2 linked regions of the Caenorhabditis elegans genome follow. The protein of the gene in region 1 interacts with the protein of each later gene in a pairwise test. Each region holds a gene or a part of one and is shown on either strand. Other genes may lie near its edges. The genes, in order: snr-4 and snr-5.

Region 1 (3,843 bases):
CCAACCGTCACAATGATGCAGGTTGAAGAAAAACCAGATGTAACATATTCGGATGTCGGAGGCTGCAAGGATCAAATTGAAAAGCTTCGAGAAGTTGTCGAGACTCCACTTCTTCATCCCGAGCGTTACGTTAATCTCGGAATCGAGCCACCAAAAGGAGTTTTGCTCTACGGTCCACCAGGAACAGGAAAGACGCTTTGCGCTCGTGCCGTTGCCAATCGAACAGATGCTTGCTTCATTCGTGTTATTGGATCAGAGTTGGTTCAGAAATATGTCGGAGAAGGAGCTCGAATGGTTCGTGAGTTGTTCGAAATGGCTCGTACCAAGAAGGCATGTCTTATCTTCTTTGATGAAATTGATGCTGTTGGAGGTGCTCGTTTTGATGATGGACAAGGAGGTGACAATGAAGTTCAACGTACTATGCTCGAGTTGATTAACCAACTTGACGGATTCGATCCACGTGGAAACATCAAGGTTTGTCTTTAATTCTTTATGGAAATAACCCAAAAAAATCTGTAATATAAATTTATTTATCTCTTGCTTTCTTGAAGGCAGTTTATATCATTAGTTCAGTCCTTTCATCCAAAAAAAAAGACACACATTTTTCGTTTGATAAGTTTCCAAAAAATTAATGCTTACATGTATTGTAAATATGAGTGTTTCATTAAAATAATTTGATATTTTCAGGTGCTTATGGCAACAAACAGACCGGACACTCTCGATCCCGCTCTCATGAGACCTGGTCGATTGGATCGTAAAGTCGAATTCGCTCTTCCAGACCTTGCAGGTCGTGCTCACATTCTCAAGATTCATGCAAAACAAATGAGCGTTGAAAGAGATATTCGTTATGATTTACTTGCTCGTCTGTGCCCAAACAGTACAGGAGCCGAAATTCGCTCAGTCTGCACCGAAGCTGGAATGTTTGCAATTCGTGCTAGAAGAAAGGTGGCAACTGAAAAAGATTTCCTTGAAGCTATCAATAAGGTTGTCAAGGGATATGCCAAATTCAGCGCCACTCCAAGATATCTGACACATAATTAATTGTACCCTATTCGGTTTTCATTCTCTTTCCGGTCCTCGATTAACTTATTTTCGCCCGTCCACCCATTTTTTTTTGTACAGATTCCCCATGTCTCCGATTTTTGTCTTATTTATTACATCCTATCGTCGTGAGATGCACCCAAGTTGGCCCAACACTGTCAGATGTATTCGTTTCGATTTTATGGATAAATGTGATTGGGTTTCTGACTATTAAAACTTGTATACACCAGTTTAAATGAATCTGAAAACGTGCCATAAAACCTTTTCATAAGAAGAGTAGTAATCTAAACGCGATTACGGTGTAATGCCAGAAAAAGTAAGAATAGAAGAAATTGGCAAGCGTATTTTAATGGTACTAATATTGTGCACACTTTACCTAGGAATATATTTTTCATCTCTACAATGTTGACTAGCGCCCTGAATGCTCCAAGGATACTGTTTTCCAACTAAATGTTCAACTGTTCAGTATTTATATTCTGCCTCCTAGAGGCGTTCAAAAATTGCGTATGCCACCCATGTTTCAGGGGACATCGCGGGCAATTGGGAAAAGTTTTCAACCAGCAATAAACGCACCTCGGCAAAGCCTCATTGGTCACGTTATCGCCCCAGCGCAAAGCTAAATTCAGCAGCTCACTCAGCTGATCCTATAAAACACAGCAACCGACAAATCGCGGCTTTCGCGCACAATGGTGCTTTCTGCATTCTGTATTCTTCGGAATGCGGCGCGTGTGCGTTGCGGTCGTCTTTTTCGAATTGCAATCGCTCGCGGTTTATCGGAGTCTCTCTGTTTTCTTGAAACGAATCTCTTCCCTTCGATTAAAACTGCATAAAAACTAATAAAAATCTCAAAATTGATTTTTCTTCTACTTTCTTAAGATCTGTAAAGTTTCGTTCCTCCGAATTCCTCTTTATGATTATTTAGAAAACCTCGCCCAATACCTTATTCTTCACTCTTATCGGTATTTTTTACATGAAATTATCATTGATTCTCAGCTAACCAATTTAATTTCAGGGACTTCTATCAAAATCAACTTTGATCATGTCGGCGTGAGTTCACATTGTTTTCATTGACCAGTAGTTTAAATTTATTTTTACAGCCAAGCCAAACCCCGTTCAGAGATGACTGCTGAAGAACTCGCTGCAAAGGAGGACGAGGAATTCAATGTCGGACCACTCTCCATCCTCACCAACTCAGTCAAAAACAATCATCAAGTTCTCATCAATTGCAGAAACAACAAGAAGCTTCTCGGAAGAGTTAAGGCTTTTGACAGGTTAGGTTTCTTAGAAATACTATTAAGTAAAAACTCACAAGTATTTGTCGGTAGTAAACTTCAGACAACATTTTTTAAAGAAAAGTGTTTCAAAAATAATATTTGAATCATCGATAGTGAACGTATTTTGGTTGTCGTCTCGATGCTGTAGCAAAATATCATTTACTATATATAATGCATTTATTCCGTTTGTCCATAGTTTGTAGTCTGTGAAGGTTTGGCTTAGTGTAGGGATATAGTCGGGGTACTGTAGTGGTACAATAGTGGTACGGTAGGAGTACTGTATGATTATGGTAGTTTCAGAAAAATTAGTTTTCAGCCCCAGAAGTCGGGGCAGCGCCAGAGGTGCGGTCCACGGCTGGTAGATTTAATAAAACGGCACGATCCTCCTGTGCTGTAACAAATTGTCGTGGCATCAAATTATTCAAACACGTATTGCTACGATTTCCAAAGGGAAAACACAAATCTTACACTAATATAAGTACTTTCTCATTTGCCGTAACTTTCGTGTCCCGCAAAGCATGCAAAATTCCAAGAGGAGTTTTCTACTATTGTTCGTATAAAAATAATTGGAACGTATAGTCTAATTCTTTACTTTTTCAGACATTGCAACATGGTCCTCGAAAATGTGAAGGAAATGTGGACTGAAGTGCCAAAGACTGGAAAGGGAAAGAAGAAGGCAAAGTCTGTCGCCAAAGATCGTTTCATCTCAAAAATGTTCCTCCGCGGAGACTCCGTCATTCTCGTCGTCAAAAACCCACTGGCACAAGCTGAATAATTCACCTTCAGAAAATCTCCCAATCAGTACGGTTTTCTCGTATTTGTTATGACACCTTACAATTTTCGAAATTTTCACTCTTGTTCTTCCCCCTCCCGTTCACCCTGTTGTTTCGTTTCAATGATCATCATTTTCCACTTTTTATTTATTGATAAACGTTCCTATTTAATACCACAGTCGTGTTTTTTTCTGAAGTTGAATCCGTATCCTCGCGGCAGATGATTTTTGTAGTTCTGCGTGATTGTTGCTTGAACTTGAAACCGGTTTTTCGATTTTTCGTCGATGTTGACTGTCAGTGCTATCAGAATATCATCGTCTTTCGTCTTCAAAGTTCAGGTTACTATTGGTCGTTATTTTTTGAATAAAAACGCTATATTCCACGTTTTTCATGAAATGTGATTTATTGCCATATTCCAAAAAATCAATTTCAGAAACGAAAAATGCCGATGGTCAGAGTTGCGACGAATCTACCAAATGAGAAGGTTCCTGTTGATTTTGAGGTTTGTGTTTTAATCAAACATTTTCTAAACGACTCAACAAACACTGAACAGTCTAGAGAAAATTTGTAGAAAAAAACAAGTATTTTAAGAGAAACAAATATGGTTCCCGGTCTCGACACGACGAGTTTTTTCGTTGCGAGAAAGTGTGCGCCTTTAAAGATTACTGTAATTTTATACTCGAGTTTCTGCAGAATTCTTAAAGATTTTATATAGTTTTTCTCACAATAAGTTTTTCAATGAAAATATTTTTAAC
Region 2 (3,130 bases), on another chromosome or scaffold:
CTCATTGTTTTCTTCTTTTATTAATAAACAGTTAAAGTTTCCTTGAGAACAATGTGGTTGAGCAACGCGAACAAATCATCAATGTAAATTTCAGCGGATTCGTTACGACGTGTCTCACCACATCGTTAGTAGGATTTCAGAACACATTAAGTAGAAATCAAGAGACGCGGAATAGTGAAATGAAAATGCGACGTTTACCTTTCTGAGAAGGACGGTTACACCGGATGTACGCGTCGACGCTTTAATCTAATAAGGATAAGGTTCAATGCATGAAAAGGTGTTTACATTTGAAACCTTCTATTTCGGTTAAAAGAACTCGAATGAAATATTGCATCAGAAAATCTATAGTTTAGAAAATGCGTTTATTTTTAGAATAGGACAATTTTACAAGCAAGAGTCATAAATTAATACAAAAATTACAGAAATGTCAAAAAATAACGATATTCACAACCATTCGGATAGAAATTAAAGAGACAATCAAAAGGGTCATTTATTGTAGTTGCTTGATCTCTTTTCCTGTTTTCTTCAGAGCTTCAAGTACATCAGATGCTGGTAAATCAGTTGTAACTGTGATTTTCTTGGTTTCCACGTTAATATCGTCAATTTTGATTTTGTCTTCTGTAGAATAATAGGATTAATTTGATTAACAAAAAGTAAACCAAACCTCCAAGCTTTCCTAGAACTTTTCGCGCAGCATTTGCACAGCCATTGCATGTCATGCCCATTTCGAAAACGTACTGAAAATGTTCAAATTATTTTTTTTTTCACAAATATGAGAATATTTAATTGTAATTTGTAAAAAGTTAAATAATTTACCTGTGTCATGATATTTGTTGAGTCAGAAATCTGGAAACTCTGCTTCTGCTTGCCTGAAAAACGTTAATTTGAATGATTGGAATTAGTACAGTCGAAAAGAAATGAACAAAGAGACGCAAAATGGAGAGACAGTGATAGGGCGACTCGTGGTCAATGCTTTATCTCTGAGAATTTGCATCATTCGACATTTTTTGATCAAGTTTTCAAGAAACTGCGATAATTAAAAAAGGAACTATTGAGATGGGACAACTCGAATGGTTTAAGCAACTTTTAAATGTTTTCCAGTTTTTTTTTTTACTTTTTGGAAAAATTTATGGAAAAATGAGAAAGAAGCTTAGAAACAGGATAAAGACACCAAATGACGTCACAGCTTTGCATTAATGCATCTTCTCTATTTTCTCGGCGTCTCACTCATCTTCTACTTTGAAACGAGCGTTTTTATGGGGTGAGAAAATTATCGATTTTAAGGGTGATCAGTTAAAGAGAAAAATAAAGACGATAACATTTTGATGGAGCCTGTTAAATGTTGTGAATTGGAAGAAATAGAGCCTTATATAAAGAACTGTTTTATCATCTACAGTAGTCCGAAAGCCATTTAGCAGGATATTCGAGGCTGAAGAGAAGTTAACTATATTTAGATAGCATAACTTATTAAAACTCAAAAAGTACAAGGACATTGAAAAAGCGGAAAATACAAATACTCAGTTTAAATTAACTAAAAAACCAAAACCCACATCTTTTTCATGCATGATGCATGGGTATGATTAATTTTATGTCGTCAAGTATGGTGTCGCATACGCAGTCTGCAGTATGTCGTATTATCTGATGCTAGCGCAACTTTCGAAAATTCAAGGTTCTTTTTTCATTTTTATGGAGGATTTCGCAGCGTTTTAACCTTTTTAAATGTGTTTTGTTGAGTTTATGTTTATTAAAACAACTTTGTCACTATTAGAAAATAGATACATCTTTCCATCTCACTGAAAAAACCGTCAGATGGGTTTTAAACTTCTTAAATTGTTCAAACATAACAATTGTGATTCGGAAACGCTTTGAATGTATTTTTATTGCTTAAATTACTTGTGTCCTTCACTATTTTCGATATCCCTCGTTTCAAAATATATTATTTAAAAATATTTCAGAAATGTCCGCAGTTCAACCAGTGAACCCAAAACCGTTCCTCAACAGTCTCACCGGAAAGTTTGTCGTTTGCAAACTGAAGTGGGGAATGGAGTACAAAGGTTTGTATTGACATAATGAAATATTTCACCAAAAGCGCCAAATGTTTAAGGTGTCCTTGTTGCTGTCGACTCCTACATGAATCTGCAGCTGGCTCACGCCGAGGAGTACATTGACGGAAACAGTCAAGGAAATCTCGGAGAGATTCTTATCCGGTTGGTGCATTTTTTAAAAGAAAAAATTCAAGCCGTAGAAACTAAAGTTATTACAATCTTATGCACATTTATATCGTAGTAAATCTTGAAAAATGTTCTAACTTTAGATGCAACAACGTTCTCTACGTGGGAGGCGTGGACGGAGAAAACGAGACGAGTGCCTAAATTCTTCAAACCCTTCTCAACAATTGATCTTATGTTCACAAGTTTTCTGTCTTTTTCGCACATTCTTAATCAATAAATTATAATTATCTTATTAAAGAAGTTTTTAAAATATTTATTAAATGAAAAAAAAAATCATCAGCAAATTATGTAAATTATCAAAGACACAGCGAATCCTCTTTCACCAACGTGGCGCTCATTTCATTTTTGACATCTACTTCTTCAACAACTACAATACCATTCTCAATTGTCTTCAGCTTCTCTTTCTCATTCATCTCCTGATCATCCTCAACTTTAGCCCAATCTTGTAATTCTCCTGATCCGAATAACAAGAATATTGAACCAGAGAAAATATGTGCCAGTGAGCATCCTATGAAGATATTCTGCCACTCCGCAGCGGTTCCCTAAGAATATGGATAGCAAGTAGATTTGTCAAAAATCTCTAAAATAGCTTACGTCTTTTCTGAACATGCTCATGACTGCAGGAGTTGTCAATCTACCAATCATTGCAACAAACATTGAAATTGCAGACATGGTTGCAGTATATTGTGGTGCCAAACTGAGTAGTGATGTGTAAAATCCACTCACAAATGTTCCCATTGAGCTATACCTGAAGACTTTAAATTTGGAAAAGTCGCTGAAAAGTATCGAAACTCACATTAAACAGAAGAAAATAAGGCCAGTTGTTGGATTAGAGCAATCGACAAAGAATGCAAGTAAAATAAGTGAGAAGGAACTCCCAAAACTTGCTGAAATAAATA

What was found.
Region 2: the proteins of snr-4 (region 1) and snr-5 interact in binary tests that used the Caenorhabditis elegans proteins (3 or more experiments, as listed by UniProt).

Annotation. Positions count from the first base shown.
Region 1 is NC_003283.11:11,977,934-11,981,776, reverse strand, and holds snr-4 (putative small nuclear ribonucleoprotein Sm D2), read left to right. Parts: upstream 1-2,053; 5' UTR 2,054-2,080; coding exon 2,081-2,088; intron 2,089-2,138; coding exon 2,139-2,312; intron 2,313-2,443; exon of another isoform or gene 2,444-2,464; intron 2,465-2,915; coding exon 2,916-3,090; 3' UTR 3,091-3,269; downstream 3,270-3,843. Other genes in the region: rpt-1 (26S proteasome regulatory subunit 7), read left to right, coding at 1-474, 688-1,041; MIF-like protein mif-2, read left to right, coding at 3,373-3,426, 3,522-3,590. UniProt on the Caenorhabditis elegans protein: Plays a role in pre-mRNA splicing as a core component of the spliceosomal U1, U2, U4 and U5 small nuclear ribonucleoproteins (snRNPs), the building blocks of the spliceosome.
Region 2 is NC_003281.10:7,860,115-7,863,244, forward strand, and holds snr-5 (putative small nuclear ribonucleoprotein F), read left to right. Parts: upstream 1-1,955; 5' UTR 1,956-1,957; coding exon 1,958-2,054; intron 2,055-2,104; coding exon 2,105-2,207; intron 2,208-2,314; coding exon 2,315-2,372; 3' UTR 2,373-2,460; downstream 2,461-3,130. Other genes in the region: cuc-1 (Copper transport protein ATOX1), read right to left, coding at 491-618, 665-737, 817-825; putative transporter slc-17.3, read right to left, coding at 2,528-2,773, 2,826-2,979, 3,028-3,118.